Linked DNA regions of Tamandua tetradactyla. The protein of the gene in region 3 interacts with the protein of the main gene of each other region in a pairwise test. Links are inferred from orthologs where the notes say so. Each region holds a gene or a part of one and is shown on either strand. Other genes may lie near its edges.

Region 1 (7,927 bases), on a different chromosome or scaffold from region 3:
CAGCATTAGTTGTCTCAGCTCCTGTATCTCATTTGAACTATTGGTTTGTTCCTTTGACTGGGCCATATCTTCAATTTTCCGAGCGTCTTCCATTATTTTCTGCTGGTGTTTGGGCATTTGATCAGATTTCCCTGGGTGTGGGACCCGGCTGGTTGAAAGGTTTTTCTGCGAAATCTCTGGGCTCTGTTTTTCTTTTCCTGTCCAGTAGGTGGCGCTCGTGGCGCTCGTCTGTCTGCACAGCAGTCGGCCTGGGAAACCGCGCGTGGAGGGGGGGTCGCTGGCCGCCGCGGCTTGGGAGAGTGCCGGTCCAAATTGCCCAGCTGGCCCGAGATGCCAAGCGTGACGGGAGGGCCCCGCTATCCAACGTTCCCAGTCAGACCGGGGAGCCACGTGCGTGGAGGGGACCCCAGTCGCCAGCCGCCCCAGCCGGGAAAACGCGCGCCCCTCGGGTATCTCACTGCCGCGGATTCTCCCTGCCCGTTCAGCCGTTCCAGAATGGGGTACACTGTCTTTTTGGTCTCTGTCGTGACTCCAGGAGCTGTTTCGTATTGTTTCTGTTTCTTTAGTTGCTTTTCTGGAGGAGGAACTAAGACCCGCGCGTCTTACTAAGCCGCCATCTTCTCCGGAAGTCAAACAGAATGGCTTTTAAAAAGGGAATTTATTAAGTTGCAAGTTTACAGTTCTAGGGCCATGAAAATGTCCAAATTAAGGTACCAACAAGAGTTCACTTTCACTCAGTCAAAGCTGATGCCCTCTGGAATGCCTCTATCAGCTGGGAAGACGTGAGGAAGTCTGCTAGCTTTCTCTTCTGGTTTCTTGTTTCATAAGGATTCCTTAGGGGTCTTTTCCTTTTGCGTTTCCAAGGGTCTTTTGCTGTGTGGACTCCAAAACCTTCTCCATAATGGTTCCTTCTTAGAGGGCTCCAGTAAGCAACCCTACCTTGAATGGGTGGAGACACATCTCCATGGAAACCACCTAATCAAAACGTCCCATCCAGAAATATTTGAAAAGGATTTAAAAACATGGCTTTTCTGGTGTACACAACAGTTTCAAAATAGCACAGAGGGTTTTCATTTACCCCCATCTTTTAAAAGAAAGTTTCATTGAGGTTTAATTTTCATACCTTACAATTCACCTGTCTTAAGTGTTTAATTCAATGATTTTTAGTATGTTTACAGACTTGTGTAACCATCATCACAGGGAGTTTTAAATATTGAGCAAATCACTGAAAAAGTGCATTTGTGATTTCAACCCCTGCAGTAATTAATTTTCAAAATTTTGCAGTCTCTGAAGTAATCATTTCCAGGAGAACGTATGGTGCCAACACTAGTATAGAGTTACTGGATTGAACTGAAAACATTTTGTAAGTTTCTTTTTCAGGAAGCAACTTTTCATAAAGAGCAAGTGTTGAAAATAAGATTGCTTCTGAGAAAAGAGCTAGTAAAATCCATATCAGTTGGTTGTGGGCTCAATCCATAAGACTTCCTGTGAAAGTGTACTGAGTTTAGAAACACCTCGAAACCCAATAAAGGTGAGGATGTAATCTCAGAAGTCAAAACTGGAAGTGGCTGTAATTTGACCCGCAAAAACCTAATCAATTGTCTAGTGCACTGTTTAGAGAACGTTAATGTCAAGATCAGCCTACAGAAAGAATTGTCAATCTTTACCTAGTACTTTCCAGGAAACAGAAAACATCAAATCCGGCGAATATGAATATTCCTTTCTTTAAAGAGGTGTACTTTGTGTACTTTGTTTTTGGGCAGGGATCATTTATCAGGTCTCACCATGATCTGAATGAAACATCCCTCAAAATGATTCACCTCACTTTGTTCTGAGTCCTCATTTAGTAAGAAACAGTCTGCTTTGCTTTCCAGACATTCCAAAACAGTTGTCTTGGCATGTACATTTGAGCCACCTCATCACCAAAACTGAATCTGTCCCTACCTCCAGTAAATGAATAAATAGTTTCGTTTATTTGCCCTCTTGTCTATTAGTGGAATGAAATTTGTTAATCTATTCTGGGACACTGCTGACATTAAGATCCCATTCTTAGATTGTAATAATCACCAAATTAATGTCATTCTGGGAGACCTTGATAAATAGCCATCCAGATTTTCCTTGTCATACCCTAATCCCTTTGATTCCAGAACCTACAATTTGAATATTTTCAAATATAAAAAGGGGTAGCAGAGTTTGTGTCTCAGCTTCCTGGCTAAGATCAAGTGTAAAAAGGCCAGTAGATAAACAAGAAGGTCCTATTCACTCTTCTTAAGTTCTGTTTTGTATTTCTCTGAACTGAACAGAATCAGAAATATTTGCATTGAATTAGACAGACACGAATAAATCAAAACAAATAGTTTTCTTATTTTTCTGAATGAGAGTGTCTTAAAATTAAAAGCACCTATGTTTAGAACACTTCAGTTATCACTGACATAACACAACGTTAATCAACAGATGACTGAGTATTTCTTAAATTGATGGGTAAAAACTGGAAACGAAGACAAAATGTGATCAGTAATTAACTGTTGAAGGAATGAAAAATATATGACCAAAATTAAAACAACAATTCTTATCCATGGTACTGTGCCAGAAATTGAATAAATTTGTTGAAATAGTGTCCTTTTTGGTCTGATTCTTCTCACTAAAAAAAAAAAATCAGGTTCTTTTTTTTATTAAAAGCTCAGTTTCAAAATATATCATTGAAGGACGGCCTGAAAAGGTAATCTATCCTTTCTTTAAAAATTTCAAGTGTTCTTTTTCCTTTTGGAATTTTTAAGAATATGATTAAAATTTCAAAATTTCTCTCCAAAAAAAGTACACACACACATACACATAATTTTGGAAACCATTACAGAGAATTCAAGGACTACCAAAGGTCCTATAGATCTGTTGAGGATCTACAGACCAAAAGTAAGCATTCCTACTCAAGACGTTTCAAACTGAATTTGTATTTTGGGATCACTGAGAGATATGTGTAAAACACATTGCCAGCTTTTAGAACTAAGAAAACATGCCCTTCTCCTGAACAACCAATTTACTTTTTAATCTCAAGAGCACTTTGAATTTTGAAAATACAGGTGTTTCCTTCTTTAATGTGGCTTCTGGGAAGACCAGAGTCAAATTTGAAATCCATCTCTTAGAACTCAGCAGGCTCTTACTGCAGGCATTTTATCTACTAACGTTATCTGAGACGTCATCTTAATTTCTTCCTTATTTTCCCATTCTCCTTATTTATTCATTCAGTTATAATACTGTCTAATTCTATCTCTGTAAGCCTCATCACATCGTTGGGGAGAAGTACAAATAAGTAAACATAATGAAGAAAATCATCATTAAACTCAGGGTGCAGATGTTTTAGCAAATCTGACTGCAGGGTTTTCATAAAATTTGAATTTATTACTAACATTTAAAAATCCTAACATTTCACATAAAAATCTGGGAAAACGTAAAGAGCCAACACTCAAGCAGGATGACAATTCTGAGAAGCAACTGTGCCTTACGGTTAGTCATAGTTCTCACACATTCATTTTGCTAATTTATATTACCTGAGAAGCCAATAATTCAAAACTGTTGTACATAAATATTAGGGGGAACGCTTCAAAAAGGGATTACCTTCGGGATTTTGCAAACTCCCTAAAAATACTTTTTCTTTTTCGTCCTCTGAAATGTGGAAAAACGACAGGCACAATTCATTCTCCAAGCTTTCACTGAGCCTTTCCTCTACCCGAAGCCCAGCAAAGACACAATGAGTGGAGCAGAGGAGGTCTTGGTCTTGGAGGCGGTACGATGTTGTTTACCCCACCGGTTATCAGGTTCCACTTATGATTGTTTAGGATCGCCCTAACACAAAGCGTGTTGAATTGAGCCGTGCAAAAGTTAAGCCCTGAACCGAAGGTGGAACAGTACTTTTTTGCAGAATATTTACTAAGGAATCTAAACTGGCCCTAGGTCTTTTCACAGGTGAAAGGGCGGGAACGCAAGGCCACGCCTTGACTCTCTACTAAATCACCAGTAACACAGCTCCCGCACAGGGTCCACTCTCGGAAGATGCCCTAGTTTCGGGAGCAACCAACTGGTCCCACCCCCTCGACCCCGCCCCCGAAATTCTTTCCCGCCAAAGACCGTTAACACCGCAAAGCATGGTGGGACAAAAGGCTCTAGGCTGTTTCACCAAATCCTTTTAAGGCGCCGATTTGCCTTAAAAGAGGCCCATTCCTGGGGAAACTGACTGTCTTTCAAGGCCCGACAGGCACGAATAGCCCCTTTATCGAAGTCCCGGATTTAATTTTTATAAAAGGCTGGTCACCCCCTTGGCAAACCGCACTGCACAGCGAGAACGCGGGGAACTTTTTTCCCCTTCGTGCGGAGGGTCACGTCGAGCGTGCGTGTGCGTACTTCTCAACGCGCTCGTTACGTTTTGCGCGTGCGTATTGAGAGCGAATCACTACTTCCTCTCGTTTCTCTTCCTCCCTCCGTCGATATCCGTGCGCCCAGCAGATAAAGGCGCCATTTTGGAGGGGCCGCGGGAGACGTGGTGTCGCTGCGGGTTCGCTCTGTTGTGCGCTAGGCTTGGTGGGAAGGCCTGTTCTCCAGTTCGCGCTTTCCGTAGCCGCCATGTCAGGAGGTGGTGTGATTCGTGGTCCGGCAGGGAACAACGATTGCCGCATCTACGTGGGTAACTTACCTCCAGACATCCGAACCAAGGACATTGAGGACGTGTTCTACAAATACGGCGCTATTCGCGACATCGATCTCAAGAATCGCCGCGGGGGACCGCCCTTCGCTTTTGTTGAGTTCGAGGACCCGCGGTGAGGCGGCATGGGGCTTGCGGCTTTGAAGAAATAGGTTGGAGTAGTTGGGGAGGCTGTGAGGCCTTAACATGGAGAATGGGGGGGTGGGGCAGTACTCTTGGAGAGGTTGGGGGCGAGGCAATATCGCCCACGCTGGAGTTGAGTAAGGAGGCAAGTTGGTTTGGCTTCTGTGGTGGCCTGGCCCCATGGACATCCCTTGAGCCGACTTGCATGTTCCGAGCGGGAAACTGAGGAGCTCTGGGCTGTCGTATCGTCTGGAGGCTGGCATGCTTCTGGGTGGGGGAGGGGCCATTTCTATTATGCAGCGCGTGTGGGCTCTTCCACACTCGGTGCGCATGTGCGGGTTTTGATGGTGTACTAGCTCTTGACCGAGTTAAGACTTCCTTTGCCGGACCCTTTTCTTATCTCTTTGCTTTCTGTGGTCACGCAGAGACGCGGAAGACGCGGTGTATGGTCGTGACGGCTATGATTACGATGGATATCGTCTGCGGGTGGAGTTTCCTCGAAGCGGCCGTGGTACAGGCCGAGGTGGCGGTGGGGGTGGAGGTGGCGGAGCTCCCCGAGGGCGCTATGGCCCCCCATCCAGGCGGTCTGAAAACAGAGTGGTTGTCTCTGGTGAGTTATTGCTGTTATGGGTTGATGAGAGGGAACAAACTACTGTAAAATTGTTCTTGTATGCTTGACTTGATAATTGGAAGTTTTCATGCTAGGTCTTAAGTTTTGTTCTTATTGGGTGAATTTTAACGAACAAGGATCGCTGTAATGAAAATGTAACCAAGTAAGATTGCAGTACTAGAATATGAAGATCCTTATTTCGCAAATAGTTTTGGACTCTGGATTCCAGAATCTTGCTTGGAATCATTTAGGTACAATCATTATTTTGACATAATCTTTGTTCTAATGTACATTACACATTTAAGGTGATATTTGAGATACTTGGTATTGAAAAAAAAATCACTTTTCAGGACTGCCTCCAAGTGGAAGCTGGCAGGATTTGAAGGATCACATGCGTGAAGCAGGTGATGTATGTTATGCTGATGTTTACCGAGATGGCACTGGTGTCGTGGAGTTTGTACGGAAAGAAGATATGACCTATGCAGTTCGAAAACTGGATAACACTAAGTTTAGATCTCATGAGGTAGGTTATACACTTATTCTTTTCTTTGGCCAGAATTGGATACAGTGGTCTTAACAGTGGAATTTGAAGGTAAGGATTCAGGCAAGGGTGTCCAAGTAAAGTGCCAGATCATTTCTGGTTTTAGTTTCATTGATTCATTCAGCATGCCTGAAGTCAGGTGAAAGCTTAGATCTTTCAATCGAAAGTTCTGTCTATCCACTAGGGAGAAACTGCCTACATCCGGGTTAAAGTTGATGGGCCCAGAAGTCCAAGTTATGGAAGATCTCGATCTCGAAGCCGTAGTCGTAGCAGAAGCCGTAGCAGAAGCAACAGCAGGAGTCGCAGTTATTCCCCAAGGAGAAGCAGAGGATCACCACGCTATTCTCCCCGTCATAGCAGATCTCGCTCTCGTACATAAAATGATTGGTGACACTTTTTGTAGAACCCATGTTGTATACAGTTTTCCTTTACTCAGTACAATCTATTCATTTTTTAAAATTCAAACTGTTTTGTTCAGAATGGGCTAAAAGTGTTGAATTGCATTGTTGTGTAATATCCCCTTGCTCCTAACATCTACATTCCCCTCATGTCTTTGATAAAAATTGTATTTTAAGTGATGTCATAGACAGGATTCTTTAAATTTAGTTAACTCTCCATGCTCTTCAGACTGTGATAATGTGTAAATGTCTATTCTGCTCTGGTTTGTGTGAACTGGGATGTTGGGGGTGTTTGTGGTTATCTTACCTGGGGAAGTTCTTATGTTTATCTTGCCTTTTCATGTGTCTTTCTGTAGACATATCTGAAGAGATGGATTAAGAATGCTTTGGATTAAGGATTGTGGAGCACATTTCAATCATTTTAGGATTGTCAAAAGGAGGATTGAGGAGGATCAGATCAATAATGGAGGCAATGGTATGACTCCAAGTGCTATTGTCACAGATGAAATTGGCAGTATTGACCTTATACTAAAAGGCAAGGGTTAAAAAGTAAATCGACCTTAAAAGACATGCAAACATCTTATGCAGTTATGTGTAGCTACAATTGCTTTGCTTTTTAAACCTTGGCAATTGTGGCAAAATTACATTGCCCATTTTGTAACAATTTATTTTGCTCCCTTCCCTCTTTTTTTGTTTTAATAGGGACTAATGTGGGAAGAACTGGCTAATTTTGTCACAGTGCTTAGTTACAACTGTTAATGTGTGACCTGCTGTTGGTGTACATGTGGGTACAGGGTGTCTTTTAATTCCAACCAGATAGAGTATAATATCAATACTGCTAAATCTGCATGTCCTCTGTGTGACTGATATAGCGTTGCTATTTCATTTTTTTAAGACAAAATGAAAACAAAATACAGAATTTCAACATATTGGTGTAGATAATTTAGTTGGGAATACGTTAAGTCTCACCTTCCCCTTTAATATTCATGATTGACTCATGCCTAAAACACTTAATTTACAAATTAAATTGCAGATGGGAACGTTAGCTTTAGTTTAGACTTAGGTGGGTACCAATACCAGTAAACTTTTCAACTACATAACTTTTTGCAACCACAAAACCTGTAATACGCTGTACAGTAACAAATGTTGGCATTATCAGTTGAACTGTAAATATAAAATGCTTCTTCCAATTAGTCTCTATGATGATTAAGTTTCTAAAATTTATCTGAACACCATTCAGAAACTTGTTTTGGGGAATTTGATAGTTATTGATGTACATCTGTTAATACTGATGACAGACATAACTCATCATTCCCCAGAAACTTTTTTTTGATTACAGTATCTAACATTTTGCCTCCTCTTTTTTGGTTTTGCTGGTTATAAAGGTTTGGATTGGAGAGGGCTCACTGGATCCCAATCCTTGGAGCTGGATCATTGGATTCAAATCATAATGTGGATAGGATAGGGAGGATGAATTACAAGGATTCATGGAGCGGGATCAGATTACCAGGAACATAGGAGTGGATTCCTGCCCCAACCAAACCGCATTCGTGTGGATTTTT
Region 2 (8,277 bases), on a different chromosome or scaffold from region 3:
ATGAGGTTAGAGGTATTCTCCTCCCAGGCCCCTGATGCATACTCCGTTGCCCACCTCAGTCCTTGCAGCTCATGCCTGGTCCACAGTCTGGCGGTACAGATTCCCTCCCAGTTCACAGAACCAGGAATTGTGCTAGGAGCTGAAAGCACAGAAAACAGGGCATGGTCCTTTCATTCAGGGAGTCAAGGATGGACCTGTCCCTTGTTTGCAAGCCAGAACCTTCAGTCTTGGCCTCAGTGAATGAGAGGGGCCTAGGCTTTCTCCTCTGGGTCACCCACATACCCAGCCATTGGTTTGGCCCCCACAGGGCACCTCATCACCATGTGGGGTCCCACTGGGAGTCTTTCAGACCCCTTCTCATCTGTCCCTAAGTTCCCCCAGGGATTTTTTCCTTTTGACTCTTGGCTAGATTTAGGGGTCCTGGTCCTCAGCCAGAATCTGCTCTTGGCTGCCTTCCCCTCCTTCATGGTTCTTTTGTGAAGAGGGACCAGGAAGGAACAGGAGCTGGAAGGGACCAGAAGCACCCCCTGGGGGCCTGGAAGCTTTTCCAGCTCATCCCAAGGACTCCTCTTGGCTCACCCCTAGCCCTTTCATGCCCCTTTCCCTGGCTCTTCCTGTCCATTTAGAGGACCACTGGATTGGAAATAATAGGCCGCCCACCAGCCCTCTCCTCCCACCAGGACAACATGTGCTCCCTGCCTCTCACCCGCCCTGAGGGATTCAGGCAGGAAGACCTCAGAGGGGAGAGGGGAGCAGAGCAGATAGGGAAAAGCAATTACAAAGTGATCTCAGGTTAGAGGTTTGAGACAGGGAGGTGGGGGGTAGCAGTGGCAGTGGGGGTGGGCTGTCTGGAGCAGATGCTGGCTATGGTGGGAAGGAGGGAGAGAAAGGGCCCAAGCTTATTAACCCTGGCACAGGAGTCTGGCCCCCTGGGGTCTGTGAAGGTGCGTGAGCTGATGCCTTCCCTGTGCTCCAAGATGGCAGGGAAGAGGAAGAAGAAGGAATCGGGAGGGGGGTGCAGCCAGAGTGGTTGTGATCACAGGAGTCATACCCCTCTAACCAGAGAGGCTGCTGGACTCAGGCTGAGCATGGGGAGGACCAGTCTCTGCTCTGAGGCAGCGCCCCCTCCCACTAAAGAGGGAGACAATCCTTGCCCTCCAGCAGGTCCAAAACTGACAGCTGGCCATGGGTTCTCCCTGCCAAGTGAGGAGGTATGAATCCTCTCTTGTGGGAGCCTTAGTTTGAGGCGAGGAGAGAGACTCTATCACCTTAGGGAGACACCAGTCTGACGGGGAAGACAGATGCTAGCATGAGAAAGCTCCCATCCAAGGAGGAGAACAGGTCCCCTCACTGGGAAGCCTCAAGTTGAAATGCAGATGGGATCCATAGCCACAGGAGGTAGGAGTACACCAAGAGCTTCTCAAACGGGATGGAGTGGTGCCCCTGGCACAGGGTAGCTGTCGTTAAGTGGAAGCCATGACTCATCAAGCACCTGCTATGTGTGGTTCTCACTGATTTTATACTCACAACCACCTCATAAGTAGATATGGTGAGTGCCCATTTTGCAGATAGGGATTTGGAGACTCAGAAGGTTCCTGAAGTCGCCCAAGATCACACAGCTAATTTATGGCCAAGGCCTTGCTCTCTCCCCTAGAGGACACTGCCATAGAAATCGGAGGCAAGTCTAGGGAATCAAAGGGGTGCTCTCTCTGGGAGATGCAAATTTGGGTTTTAGAACACCTGCCTAAAGCTAGAAACTGGCTTTCTCTGTGACTCTAAATTGGCTGTCCAGTGGCCGCTAGGACCTGGGCAGCTGAGCACTGCCATCTAGCGGCCACCAGGGCTCGGTTCCCACACTCAGCTGTAGGATGGACTGGGCCATCAGGAACCAGAGGGATTTTTGTTCTCATCCCACTCACTTTTCTTTTGTTCTCAACTCCTCTACTTTTCTTATATCCACCTCCAGGCTTTTTTGTCCACACAGTAATTAAGCCAAATAGTGCTACATGGGCTACCCGTGTATTGCTCCTGCCACATGAAGCTGCTGTGCCCTGGAATATGAAGGGAGCATGACTCTTGATTTGCTCCCAGATAGTGGGAAGAAAAATTAGGAGACCTCAATTCTAGACGTAGGTCTGCCCCTAAGAAAGGGGCAGCAGCATGATCAGAGGCAGCCAGGTGGCAAGCAGCAAAATGGCCAGTTGAATTAGAGGCTAGCATCTTTGGAAAATACTGGGTACCTTGTATGCATGTTCAGCTTGATGTTGAGTTGGTCTGACTGGGGAGGCATCTAGGCTTTGCCTGTGACCGGAGGGCATCGTGGCAGATTCTGATGCACGGAGAGACTCAAGGAGTGGGAGGCCCTCTTATACCCACCTCGGCTCAGGAGTGGGGTGCAGCTTGGCAGAAGGCCATGTAGAGGGATACAGGCAATCTCTCTCTCTGGCTGGCAGCGTCCTGCTGCCCAGAGGTCAGTCTAGGGATGGGCCTGAGGCTTCACATGTTGGGCCACCAGGTTAGGGAAGCAGGAGGAGAGAGGTGCCATCTAGAATGGGGACTGAGCCACACCATAATTAGGCCTTGGGGTGGAGGCCAGAAGGGCTGCGAGCCTGCCCGTGTCTGTGGGCTGCGTCTGCCTGAGGGCAGGAAAACATCACAGCGTGGTGATTTAGAACAGAGAGAAAGAGAACATAACTGTCCAACAATAGAGCTCAGTTAAATAAATGCATACAGTAGAAAACCATGTAGCTGTGAAAATGATGATGTGGATAAATATTTATCGATATGGAAAGATGTTCATAACATATTGAGCGAAAAAAAACAAATTACAAAACCATTTGTACAGCATAAGCCCACTTTTTAAAAAATGCATTTATATGTGAAGAAAATCTGGTAGTGTTTATCTCCAGGTGGCAAAATTACAGCTAATTAAAAAAATATTTTTGCTTATCTTTATTTTCTAATTTTTCTACAATAAATATGTAATACAAAACAATGCAAGTTTGGAAAACAATCTCTACCAAATCCGTCTGCCCCTTTGCTTCTCTGTATGAACACCGTTAGCTAGTCAAGGGTTGAGAGTGGGGATGGGTCTGAGTGCTAGATGGGAGGTTGGGAATGGGGGCAGGGAGAGCCAGGGCCTGGGACAGCGGCCCAGCTGGAAGGGGTGAGGCTGGGGGACCCCTTCTGCTGGTTCTGAAATGAACCTCTGTCTCATATACAGAAGCACAATTCATCAGCTTTTCTGACAAGCCCTTCCTACTTTTGTTACATCTTTCATTTCCAGGATTGCTTTGCACTCATTCGGATTTTACTTGGACAAAAAGGGGAGACCACATGCTGTGATTTGCTAGTCAATCTGAGGGGGCCACAACTAGCTCAGAGATGATGGTTAGAACCCGGGCTTGTCCCCTGTCTTGTTCTTCAAGTCCCTATTGGTCCCCAGCTCACCAACCCACGACAGGATGAATGGTCACTGGGTGCCCCCTCCCCATATTACTGCTCAGGACCCAGGATCAGATGTGACCAGAGAATAAGGAAGGGACTCTCAGGCCTTCAGTTTGTGCTGGAACTCACAGGGGCGACATCAGCTGGCAGCTCATGACATGCCCAAATGAAGAGCATGTCCCCTGGCATGGGGCAGGGGATATTACCCTGAGAGGGGCTCAGGGTCCTGCGCTGGCTCTAAGAGCTGGGGAGAGGGTGGGCAGCATGGCCTTGTCTGCAAAGCTGGAGACCTGGCATGCTGGACCACTCTCCAGGGCCTTCCCCTGGTGCCCACTGAATGACTCACCTTGGCACAGAAACAATAGTCAGGGTGGGCACAGAGCCTGCTTCCCACTGCACCCCAGCCCCCCTCAGATGCCTTCCGAGAAACCCATTGAGCAGGGGACTTGGGCTACCCCCCGGCCTGACAGCCTGGCATCTCAGGATAAAAGCAACTCAGGCCCCCGGGAGCTGCCCTTCCCGCACGGCGCCCTCACCGGTGGCGGAGAACAAGGCTCCTTTCAGCAAGAGCCCCAGAAAAGGGATCAGCAGCTCAGGGCATGGGCAGGGGTGGCAGGGGGTGGGAGGGAGGAGGGCCGCCTGCTTCCCAGAAGTCCAAGGACATAGATTGGTGAGGGTCCTGGGCAGGGCTCTGACCCTTAAGAACCAAGGTAGACAGCTGTAGACCGACCCGAAGGCTCAAGGGGCAATCAGGCCTGGGGTCCGGGCTCCCAGTCTGCACTCAGTGGCTCCTGGGTTCCCAAACTCACCCATCCCCAGAGGCCTTTCCCATCAGCCCAGCCTGAAGTGTGGGAACTCAAAGAAGATATATTTCCAGGGGGTGTGTGAGGGGGTGACCAGGGCGACAGGGAGTCGCAGGAACAAAGATGCAAGCTGGAACAGCCAGCTCATTCGTAACTGCTTTGTGGAGCTGTCAAGGCCTGAGCTCTGGGGAGGGGGCAAGGAGGCCAGGCAGGGGGAGGGGTGAGCCCAGTGGGAATAAGGTAGGGGCTTAGGGGGGCCCAAGGAGAGGGGCCAGAGAGTATAGTACCTGACCCCCTCGACCCAATCAATTGGGACCTTCAAAGGTCCCTACTGTCACTGGCCTCGGCTAGACAGAAAGGCCTCAGATAGCCCACCAAGAAAACGGAGGCTGGTGTCCAAACCTGGGCCCCAATCCCAGAACTCCAAGGAGAGACAAGAAAGCAGGAATGTAGGATGGCTGTATTCAGAGGGCAGGATGTACAGGAATCTGTTGGAATGGGGCTCAGTAGGAAACTGTAGCAGGCTGTCACTTGAGGGTATAGAACAGGTTTGTTTTTTGCTAATTTCCCAGCATGGAGCAGGCAGGCAGTGAAGGAGTGCTGAGGGAGGGACTGCCTATGACAATGGTTATGGAATCTGAGATGGAAGATAGGTCAGAGGTCACCTGGCTCAGCCCTCTTTGACCCACTTTTCTGGAAAGGGGGTCTCCTGGTCCAGTGGTCAGGGTTCCAGACCCAGATAGGGTTGGCATGCCCGGGAAGCCCTGCCTCTGGGCACAGTGACCTCAGTGGGGTGAGAGGAGCTCTCCCCATGGCTGGGCTGCGGCCCAACCCCACCCCCTCAGGCTATGCCAGGGGGGCGTTGCCAGGGGCACCCTGGGCAGTGGCAGGCCAGCCCACTCCTCCATAAAGCTTTCACATCCCAGCAGCAGGCAGAGCCAGGCCAGGATGGAGAGGCGACGCATCACCTCTGCTGCTCGCCGCTCCTATGTCTCCTCCTTGGAGATGGTGGGGGGCGGCCTGAGTCCCAGCCGCCGCCTGGGGCCTGGCGCCCGCCTCTCCCTGGCTCGAATGCCCCCTCCACTCCCGGCCCGGGTGGACTTCTCCCTGGCCGGGGCACTCAATGCCGGCTTCAAGGAGACACGGGCCAGTGAGCGGGCAGAGATGATGGAACTCAATGACCGCTTTGCCAGCTACATCGAGAAGGTGCGCTTTCTGGAGCAGCAGAACAAGGCGCTGGCAGCCGAGCTGAACCAGCTGCGGGCCAAGGAGCCCACCAAGCTGGCTGACGTCTACCAGGCCGAGCTGCGCGAGCTGCGACTGCGCCTCGACCAGCTCACGGCCAACAGTGCACGGCTCGAGGTCGAGAGGGACAATCTGGCACAGGACCTGAGCACCCTGAGGCAGAAGTGAGGAGGGGGACTGTGGAGGGGCCTGTGGGGTCTCGTCAGGGGCTCTGCTTCTCTGCTTCCCACGTTTCCCCACTGCTGGGAGGGAAGGGCTCTTGTGCTCCCCAAGATGACGGGAGGGGGCAGGAGGAGGACTAGAGCCTCAAGGATCTGAGTCCCAGGGACAGCAACTCCCACTGGGGAAAGCTGGGCCGGGGACCATGGGGGACCCAGTGGGCAGGTTCTTTGCATTTCATCCACTGCTGGGCCTTGAGATCCTGGCAGGGAAATGCACCTACCTGAGCCTGAGGATTAGAAGGCAAGAAGGCGGAAAAATAGAGCAGGCAAGCCTGGGTTCAGAACACACTCTGCCTGTTCTCAGCTCGTGACCCTAGCAAGTCACCTTGACTTGCACTGCTGTGAAGCAGCGATCATAATAAAATCCATCACAAGCGGCAGTTGCTTGGGACGTGGAGCTTTGCTGAGCTGGCAGGGCAAGTGTGTTACCTGCAAGTGCAGGGGGAAGTGTGTGAGTTTGTACCTGCAGCAGCAAGTACTCACTGGTGGGAGTTCAGTAATGGACTTCATTACTTAAGGGACTTCAGTAATGAGTTAGGGCCAAAGTTCTCATCTGCTCACCCTCCCACCCTCCCAGCCATTCCCATGATCCAGGACCCCTTGACCCCTACTCCTCCTGCCACCCTACCAGTTCTGGGGGTCTCTGAGGCAGGGAGAGCACGGTAGGGATTTGAGAGTCCTCAGAAGACCCTAGATCCAGGAATGTGTCATACACACCCCTCCCCACTCCAGGCTCCAGGATGAAACCAACCTGAGGGTGGAGGCTGAGAACAATCTGGCCGCCTATCGACAGGTCAGGGAGGTAGAGGGGAAGGTTGGGGGGTGGGGAGGGAGGGTTGGAGGCAGCCCACCTAAACCAAGCCCCCCAAACCCAGCCCTTCAGATCAATGAACTCCTGCTGCCCCAGAAGAAGAAGTAAGACAAGCCTGGGGAAGGGAGAAGAGGAGTTTGAGGTCAGAGTGGTCCTTTGTCCCCTCCCCATTCCAGGAGGCAGATGAAGCCACCCTAGCCCGTCTGGATCTGGAGAGGAAGATTGAGTCTCTGGAAGAGGAGATCAGGTTCCTGAGGAAGGTCCACGAGGAGGTAAGGCTGAAGCAGAGGGAGGAGAGCCCAAGTCAGAGACTGAAGCTGAGAAAAAGACAGAGATGGAGGATGAGAGATTGAGACAGAGAGATACTCAGAGACAGAGGAAGAAAGAGAGGCAGAAAGTGAGAGACAGAGGGAGAAACAGATACAGAGAAAAATGTGCGGTAGAGGGGGATAGAGACAGACAGGAGAGCATTCCGGACCCCCGTTAAAAGGCACACACATGTGAATCAAACACTCCACTTACTGGATTCAAATAGGCCTCATGGCCTCATTTTTTTCTTCATAACAGCCCTGTGAGGTAGGAACTGTTCCAGTATTATCCCCTTTTCACAGAGGACACTGAGACCCAGAGAAGTTAAGGAACTTGCTACGGTCACACAGTTAGTCTCTCCAACTCCATCCCTTCTGTCACCTGCCTCCCTTCAAGTGAGGGCCATTTATTAAAAAAAAAAAAAAAAAGTCCCACTGTGTTCTGAACTCAGAGCACGGATTCAGAATCTATGACCCTGTGGAACCTGGGAACCTCTGGGTACCCACCCACAGAATGCAGGCACATCTCAGGACCGGGCTCCTACCCATCCAGCCCTGGCAGAGGACACCTTGAGGCCCCAAACTACCCCCTGCCTTCCTTAGCCTGGGCCATGCCTCTACCTCCAGCTAGGGATGCCCCCCTTCTCAGCCAATGCCTGAGTAAAAGCAGGTACGATGCTGTACGATACCCTGGCCAAAGCCCGAATCCTGAGCCCTGGGACCCCTTCTCTCACCCTGACCAGGAGGTGCGGGAGCTCCAGGAACAGCTGGCCCGGCAGCAAGTCCATGTGGAGCTGGATGTGGCCAAGCCAGACCTCACGGCAGCCCTGAGAGAGATCCGCACACAGTACGAGGCAGTGGCATCCAGCAACATGCAGGAGGCAGAGGAGTGGTACCGGTCCAAGGTAGCCCTGACTGTGGGACAGCTTGCCTCCTCCAGACAGTCCTCCTTTCTCCATACTGGAGAACTAGGAACGGAGGGTAGAAGAAGGTGGAAGGGGCTCCTCTCTGGGTGACTGACTTCCAGAGAAATGAGATGACTCCGAGAGTCTTACAGGCACTACTACGTCCAACAAGTACTTATTATTATTACTACTATTATTACTACTAGTTGTAGTAGTAGTAGTTTAGTGGTAGTCAACATTGTTGTGTTCCAGGCTCTGGATGGATTAATTTTGCTATGAAATAGGCACTGTTCTTTGATAAATAGAGAAATGAGGTCCAGAGAAGTTAGTAATTTGCCCAAAGTCACACAACTCCTTAACGGTGGAGTTGGCTTTTCAACCCTAGCCCATCTCACTCCAGAGCTTGCTTTCTTGATCCCTCTGCCAGGCTGTGTCTTGAATTACTGAACACCTACGTGCACCAGGCCCTGTCCGGGACACAGAGTGGTGGCTGACTGGGGGGAGAGGATGTGTACCCAAACGAGCACCTGCGTCCAT
Region 3 (8,196 bases):
TGTTAGACTCTTCTACATTTACTAGCTAGCATTCTTCTGGAAAGAAGAGGCATTCTTTTTCTTTAAGTATCACTGTGGAATCATGGATTTCTTTTCTTTTTTTTTTTATTTAATGTATCATAATCCGTTATCACTATTCTTTTATGGTGATCACTTCAAGTCATATGGAGCCACTTCAAGTCAGTTTCTGTGTCCTCTGCACATAGCTTTCATTACTCTCAATCATATAAAATTTGAGGAGAAACAAATCCAGAAAACTAAATCCCAGGCATCCTAATCATGATCCAAGTAATCTTTCTAGGTTTTGGGGTACCATCTTCTTTGGGGTTCAACTTTTTCTTTTTTTGTCCCCAGTTTCTCATACTCATTTTATAGTGCTCTGGTTTCCATTATGTGTTTTTTCCACTCAGCCAGACTCCAACTTTTTACTGTTTGATTCCCTTCCTCTGTAGTTTTTCTTTCTTTCAGAAAACATTCCTGTGTCTTTTTCCCCTTTGCCAACCTTTCCCTTTTCTGCTTTCTTCAGCCTTCTCCTTCCCAAGCCATTCCTTTCATTTCCGTTTTCTAATTCCCCTGCTATTTCCTCTGAATATCCCATTTGTATTAATTTGCTAAAGCTGTTGGAATGCAATATACCAGAAATGAATGGAATGGCTTTTAAAATGGGAATTTATTAAGTTGCAAGTTTACAGTTCTAAGGCCATGAGATTATGCAAACTAAGGCATCCAGAGAAAGATACCGATACTCCAAAGAAAGGCCAATGTCTGCTGGTCCTTGTTCCTGATTCTATTGCTTCTAGCTTCTGATATCAGTGGTTTCCTCTCTAAGCATCTGTGGGCCTTCACTTAGCTCCTCTGGGAAATAGCTCTGGGTTTTGGCTTGTGTAATATCTCATGGGAAGGCACATGGTGATGTCTGCTGGGCTCTGCCCATGTCTAGGCATCTGCTCTCCAAGTTGGTACTCCATGTATCTCCAAACATCCGTGTTTCTGTCCGCTCTGAAGCAACTCTTCTCCAAGGGTCTACATCTGAAGTGTCTCTAAAATGTTTCCCCTTTTAAAGGACTCTAGTAAACTAATCAAGGCTCACTTTGAATGGGTAGAGTCACATCTCCATCTAATCAAAAGATCACACCCACAAATTGCATAGGTCATCCTCCTTGGAAAGAATCTAATCAAAGGTTTCCACCCTAAACAATAGGTCTGGCCTCACAAGATTGGATCAGGATTAAACTGGCTTTTCTGGGATATATAATAGTTTAAAACCAGCAACACCTTTGAGTCCTAATTTTTTCACCACCAGAGTTCCCCTCTGTCAATTTTCAATCATAGACTCATTGAAAAAATTATATATACCAGATTGCATTTATTTTTCCCAAGCAAAGCCATTTGTAATTGTTGATTTGAGCTTTATTCAGTATGAGATAACAAATGCCCCCACACTGAGAAATGTAATTAAAGCCAAAGCTAGGAAACCTGATACTTTAGTTAGGCCTCTTAACATTACTGGGGAATTACAATTCAGGTTCCTGTATTTGAGACATTGAGATTAGCTCACACCAGTGTTCATGTCGGCCTACCTACGCCTACACCGTTGGGCTTGCAACCACGGGCCCAGCCTCTTTTGTCACTTTCCAGTTGGATTGTCAGGCTCCTCCAGTTTTTTCATGCCCACAACTCTCAAAAGCCTCTGTTGCCAGGGCTTTCCACTGCAATGACCAGAGTTTGTATTCGGTTTATAGGATAGTAACTGTAGGTGACTGGAAAATATTTTATTTGCCTCAGCAATTTCTCCTGAGATTGTCCTTCCTCTGAAGACTTCGCTATATCCTAAAGAGACATATGTTTTCCTAATGTAGGGTTTTTCTTATCCCCTGCCTTCCTGTTCATATCATTAATTTTTATCTTCCCATCTTAGAACTAGGATTTCCTGACTGTAATGGTCTGTGAACTTCTAAGTGCATTTCATTGTCATTAGACAAAATTCAGTAAATACTGATGAGCAAAAAATTCTAATAGCTAACATTTTGGGGGCTTTTACTGTGGGTTAAAACTGACAGTTCTGAGAGGTTGGGTTTGTGTTATCCTTATTTTGCAGGCAAGTAAAACAGACTCAAGGTTAAATCACTGGCTTAGGGTCATTAAACCAGAGGTGAAACTTCATTATATATCCTTTAGGGCATTTTCTGTTTACAAATATATATATATATATATATATACACACACACACACACATAAATGGTATCATATTGTATATCGACCCTTTTGTCCCCACGTACCATGTCCATCTTTCTATGTCAATAAATACACTTCAACAGCATTCTTTTTAATCCAGTGTCCTTCTGTTTCCTCTTCTCCCGGCCCTGTCCCAGGATCGACGAGAACGTGCTGGGAGCCCAGCTGGATGTTGATGCTGCCCACTCAGAGATCCTCAAGTACTTCCAGTCAGTCACCTCCAACCGGTGGCTCATGGTCAAAATCTTCCTCATCCTCATTGTCTTCTTCATCATCTTTGTGGTCTTCCTTGCCTGAATCCTCTCCACTCTGAGGCACTCCATGGGGGGTTGAAGCCCACCTGGGGGGGCAGGTGGCCATTGCTGCCACTGAGCCTGTACAGGGTGCTTGGAAGAAAGGCCCTGTTTCCCTGGAACTGCTAAGAATGGCCACTGCCCCTTGATCCTCCAACCATGTTTTGCCTCTGGCTATCCTGCCTCTCCCCTAACACCCCCAGACCCACAAACCACACAGGGTTCTGGTTTTGGACTCTGTTGTGAAGTGGCTGGAAGGGAGCAGAGGCTAGCTGGGGGCCAGTGGGGAGGCTGCCTCCACTAGGAAATTTTTATAAACCCCCCACAGCCTCTCTGAAAAGAAACTGGGAGCAAGGGGAAGTGATGACCTTCCCTGCCTTCTGAGAGTGAGGAGAGGAAGAGAAACTGCCCCAGGGACCAACTTTCCCATCTGGGTTAGAACTTGACCTGTTTATTTTTCCTCTCTTCACTAAGTGAGGCAGAGGGCCCTGAGCCCTTTGGCTGCCTGCACAACCCCCCCAACATTGGCTGCTAGTGACTCTCAGAATGCCAAATGCACTGCAGCCTGTTTTCTTCCAATTACAGAAAGACTGTCAGCCTCACTAGCCATGTCGTCATTTCTGGGTGGGAGCGTCGAAGGGCCTACCTAGGCAGTGAGTGGGCTGAGCCCACTGCCCAGTAACGGAACTGAAAGGGATCAGCTAATGGTTCAGAGGGGCCCCACAGCTGACCTTTGCAGCCTTTGGCGTCTGTACCACACAGCTGCCTCCAGCCATGTGATTACAAAGTGCGGTAGCACCTAATTTGAATGGAAACTTCATATCAAAGGAGGAGGGGATTCCCTGATTGGTGGTAACTTCCAGGACTGCCTTGAGCAGCAGTATTTGGACCGGTTTCATCTTAATCCTTTAACCTGTTGGCCCCAATTCAGAGCTCTGTCCGCTGCCAGGAGCGGAAGGTGAATTTGTTCCTGCGGCGGCTGAATCTCTTAGTTCCCATTAAAGTCTTCACCAAATCCAAACTAGTCACAGGAGAATGGAGAGAGACCTGCCCAGAATACCCCCTCTACTAGGAGCTTAATGTGCTTCTTTATCTTTCTTGACCAGGACCCACAACCACACCATTCTGAGATCACTTGAGTGAGTGCCCTGGTTCACACAAAACTCAAGCCGTAGAGACTGCAGTTGGCCATACTCAGCCTGTCCTAGTTCTTTTGGGGGTCTAGGGAAGTCCATGGTTTTTCCACCCCCGGCATTTACAGATTTCCTCTTGTCTTGGCTTCTCTTCCATCGCTTGTACCTCCACCATATACTCAGTCCACATGTGATGTGGGCCTGGCACAGTACACCAGTAGCGATTGGGTTGGTTTGTGAAGAGGAATGTCGCCGAAGCCTGTTATAAATGCAGTCCCATTTAATTGGGCAACTCTCGGAGCATGGTTAAAACAAGTTATTTCACAAGTATTTGTTGTTACTTGGTGCCATGCATGGTACTGGGCCCGGCGCTGGAGAAAAAAGCCATGGAGTTCACATTCTAGAGTTTGATTTCGTGCTTATTAATCCAGTTTACAGAATGGGAAAGAGCCCCAAGGTCAGCAGCCGATAAAGAGCTGAGCCGAGACTTTTAAACACTAGCTGAATTCGGCGAGGTGTCGGTAAGCGATCACTCGCTCCGAGGTCCGGGACTCCCATTCCTCAGTATCCTTTCGGGCCGCCCCTCGTCCGCCTTCCTCTCGGATTTCTGGACTGGAGCACCCCGAGTGCCATTGTTCTGCTCTTTGCTCCGGCACTAACTCTGGAAGTCTGCAGACGGATGAAAGGAGGTGGTGGTGGTAGGCTGGCAGCAAATCCTGGGCTTGGAAAGCTCAGTCGAGCGAGGCGTGGGAGGGACAAGACCCGACTCCTAAGCGTCCGCCTTCTGAAGTGCGCACGCGCAGGCAGGCCCCGCCCCGCCCCGCCCCCAGAGGCTCCGCCCACAACGCCGTGACGTCAGTAGCGCGAGACGTACTTCGCCGAATAAATGCTGTGGCGCCCGGCGTAGAAGCGCTTCGGCCCTTAGCTACTGGTTCAGTTTGGACGTTTGGCGGCTTCCTGGGCAGCGCTTCAGCCTGTCCCTGCCTCTCTCTGTACCATGGCGGACGAAGGGAAGTCGTACAGTGGTAAGTGCTGGCTTTCGGTGGCGAAGCGGAGCGATTTGGTGCCCGGGTGGGCGGCGCCGGCCTAGGCCGCAGCCCCAGGTGATGAGGCCGCTCGCGACCCGAAGTCCGCGGGGAGCGGCGGCGTGGGGCGGGTGGGGCGGGCCGCCGGGGACCAGGCAGCCCGGAAGGGGATCTCGGCCGAACTCGAGGATGGACCCCGGGGTACGCGACTCCGGAGTCCTGGTGTTGTGAGGACCTGCGGCTCGAAGCAAAGTAGTTCAGGGATGGGGTGACGAGAATCCTTTAAACTTTGTGGGTGATTGATGCTGGTCAGTTCAGTTTGGCGACCAGACTCTTTTAATGTGAGTGACTCAGTGCTCGCTCTTGGGCTGTCCTGGTACCCTATCTCCTACCGCGACTAAATGAGGACCTGCGGCTCTCATTTAGTATTTTAGCTTTTTTACACACCGTCTCAATGTTCTAGTCCGCCTGAGTTTTAGTTCAGTGTTGTGGTCAGGGTCTCTAGGCAGCCGAGGTTTGCATCCTCGTTCGACTAGGTCAAGCTTTAGTGAGTTACTTAAATTCTCAGACCTCATTTTCCACCTCTTTAATGAGGGTAGAAGCAACAGCTACCTTCAAAGGTGTGTGTGTGTGTGTGAGAGAGAGAGTATGTGTGTGTTTAAATGAGATCATTTCTATCAAGGGCCTGAAACATAGCACCTGGCAAGGGAGAAAGCTCTCAGTAAATGTTAGCTGCTGTTATCTTTTTTTTTTTTTTCCTAGAGTCCTTTTTGAGGCTCAGTGTCGGCATTAGGCAGACATGTTTAGGCGTCACAGGACTTTTTTAAAGAAACTCCTGTCCACCTAGATTTAAAGAGGGTCATATTCCTGGAGAACATTCCTGGACCCTTGGTTACTAGAGCCTGAGTCTAGGAGTTGTGTCCTGTGTTAAAAGGCATCTCAGGCAGAGGAAAAGGAGCACTCAGGAAATATGAGTAGCAGTATAATAGCAGGGAGATGTTTTAGGTTGGGCAGATTTTGAGTGACATCTGTAACGCACAGGCAGGAGAAATGTAGGTTACTGAGTGCTGATGTAATCATTGTGATTGATTCGTTTTAGGATGTGTCAGAGAATTTGCCTTCCAAAATTTGGGTGGGATTGAGTCGATTTGATAGATTGAGAGAGAACAGTTTGGGTGACTCTCTCAGTCTATCAAATCTTCATTTTTCAGAAACGCTGTGCAGTTTTCCAAGAATTTTTCTGATGTTTCCATCTCGTAGAGAGGGTTCTTTCTTCTGGACAGGCAGAGGAATTTGGGTGGAGGTGGCTTCTGTTGTTAGTATGTGTCTCCTCCAATAGTGCAGGATAATAGCTCCTGTAATTGCTGATGATGTATTTTCTAACTTGTGTTCCTGTTTCCAACTCTAGAGCATGATGACCGTGTTAATTTCCCTCAAAGAAGAAAGAAAGGCCGGGGTCCTTTCCGGTGGAAGTGTGGTGAAGGGAATCGTCGGTCTGGACGAGGTGGTTCTGGTGTTCGATCTTCCCGCATTGAGGAAGATGATGGAGATGTACCAATGAGTGATGCCCAAGATGGTCCCCGAGTACGATAGTAAGTGGCCAGTTGATCTGGTTTGAATTTAGTGACACACTAGATGATGCAGCCCTGCAACTGCCCATGTTATTTCTCTTTCCCACTTGGAAGACTGATAAATACTAGATCAGCTTAATGGATGAATAGTTTTAGTTACATCTCTGACAGCAGTGTAGGAAAGTCTTTGAGAAGGCTTAAAGTTGCAAATATGGACTTTTTTTCTCTCTGCTTCCCCCAGCACCCCGTATGCTGCCCGACCCAACCGTCGGGGTGATAATTGGCGTGATCGAGACCGTATCCATGTTACTGTACGGAGAGACAGGGCTTCTTCGGATAGAGGAACGGCTGGCACCAGCCAGGATGGGACCTTGAAGAACTGGTTCAAGATTACAGTGAGTACTTTTGGGAAAGTAGATGGTGCGGCTGAGACTGGGGGCTGGGCCCACGGAGAATGTGTTTAACTCCAGAGAATCAGTCTTTCTGGCTGTGACCTCCACAGTTTGATGCCTGTCCTTTTTGCTGAGGATCAGTATCTTTGAACACCTAAGAGTGGGTTGAAAGAAGGGATAGAAGAGGACAGGGAGGATGGGGGAGGCCCTCAAAAGGTAAGCATGGTAACTGTGGTCAGGAGTTGGAGTAACTCCTCTGGATGTCTCCTTTTGGCTCAGGCCCAGTGTGGAGTTGACCAGGTGTGGGAGTTGGAGTTCCTGGAGTTCTGTGAGGGGTAGGCAATGTATAAATAATATCTTGATACTTTTTTATAACCCAGATTTTTTATCCTTTGGAGAAATAATAATTTTAACTGGACAGAAAGAAGATTAAGGAGTCCATGTATGGCTCAGATAGAAAAACATATGGCTGGTCCTTTCTTTAGAAAATCTTTTAAAGCTTGGCAGAAGGTCTGAAAGGAACCTTCAAGTCTGCTTTTCAGCCTTAGTTGCATATTGTTCCTTTTCTTTCTCTTTCTCTTATTTCTAGATTCCTTACGGCAGAAAATATGACAAGTCATGGCTATTGAACTTGATTCAGAGCAAGTGCCGTGTCCCTTTCACACCCATCGAGGTAAGACAAGGCCTGAGTGGCAGGCTGCCTGGGCATCAGGGAGGGTGGAGGGGGCAAGATAGACAAGTGTTTCTGGGCTCCAGATCTAATCCTGTTATTTCTCTTCTTGCAGTTTCACTATGAGAACAGTCGGGCCCAGTTTTTTGTTGAGGATGCCAGCACTGCTTCTGCATTGAAGGCTGTGAACTATAAGATTTTGGATCGGGAAAATCGACGGGTACATGTGTCAAGGGCCTGGCTTGGTTAGGGGTGGGGATTGGGGTGGCAGGCAGGGACTGGGTATTGGCATTGGTATTTAGGCTCCCCTGGAGTTTACACTCTGCCTTTCATGTCTTCTCTGCAGATATGTATCATCATTAACCCCTCTGCTCCACCCCTTATTGTGCAGAATGAACTGAAACCAGAACAAGTAGAGCAGCTAAAGGTGAGACAGGAGCAGTACTGCTTGTTTTCATCCCTGTCCAGCCATTTCTTGCCCAGCCTGCCTCTCTCCCCACACAACGTCGGTGACCTGTGAACCCTTTTTCTTCCTCTGTAGCTGATCATGAGCAAACGATACGATGGCTCCCAACAAGCGCTTGACCTCAAAGGCCTCCGTTCAGATCCAGGTATGGATGATTGCACAAGTAGAGGCGAAGGGGGAATCCGTCAGGAAGGGAATGTTAAGAGAATGATTTGGTGCTGTATCTGGCCTGGGCAGACCCTCTCAGACTTTCGCTTCCTTCCTTTCTGCTTTCTGAAGATTTGGTGGCCCAGAACATTGATGTGGTGCTGAGTCGTAGAAATTCTATGGTGGCTGCCCTGAGAATCATCGAAGAGAACATTCCTGAGGTGAGGCTCTTGGCCCAGTATTGAGGCTCTGGAAGCACAATGG

Evidence for each region.
Region 1: the proteins of NXF1 (region 3) and SRSF1 interact in binary tests that used the Homo sapiens proteins (3 or more experiments, as listed by UniProt). The link is inferred for Tamandua tetradactyla from reciprocal best matches to the Homo sapiens genes NXF1 and SRSF1.
Region 2: the proteins of NXF1 (region 3) and GFAP interact in a two-hybrid assay, tested with the Homo sapiens proteins (3 studies listed by BioGRID and IntAct). The two-hybrid records come from large-scale screens. The link is inferred for Tamandua tetradactyla from reciprocal best matches to the Homo sapiens genes NXF1 and GFAP.

The regions. Positions count from the first base shown.
Region 1 is NC_135332.1:38,935,774-38,943,700, reverse strand, and holds the start of SRSF1 (serine/arginine-rich splicing factor 1), read left to right. Parts: upstream 1-4,468; 5' UTR 4,469-4,614; coding exon 4,615-4,808; intron 4,809-5,241; coding exon 5,242-5,426; intron 5,427-5,776; coding exon 5,777-5,949; intron 5,950-6,151; coding exon 6,152-6,346; 3' UTR 6,347-7,927. UniProt on the Homo sapiens protein: Plays a role in preventing exon skipping, ensuring the accuracy of splicing and regulating alternative splicing.
Region 2 is NC_135332.1:22,511,515-22,519,791, forward strand, and holds the start of GFAP (glial fibrillary acidic protein), read left to right. Parts: upstream 1-4,896; 5' UTR 4,897-5,198; coding exon 5,199-5,659; intron 5,660-6,448; coding exon 6,449-6,509; intron 6,510-6,703; coding exon 6,704-6,799; intron 6,800-7,578; coding exon 7,579-7,740; intron 7,741-8,277.
Region 3 is NC_135335.1:11,787,324-11,795,519, forward strand, and holds the start of NXF1 (nuclear RNA export factor 1), read left to right. Parts: upstream 1-4,513; 5' UTR 4,514-4,658; coding exon 4,659-4,686; intron 4,687-4,843; exon of another isoform or gene 4,844-5,027; intron 5,028-6,094; coding exon 6,095-6,278; intron 6,279-6,498; coding exon 6,499-6,652; intron 6,653-7,238; coding exon 7,239-7,322; intron 7,323-7,434; coding exon 7,435-7,539; intron 7,540-7,665; coding exon 7,666-7,746; intron 7,747-7,860; coding exon 7,861-7,930; intron 7,931-8,064; coding exon 8,065-8,153; intron 8,154-8,196. Other genes in the region: STX5 (syntaxin-5), read left to right, coding at 2,373-2,532.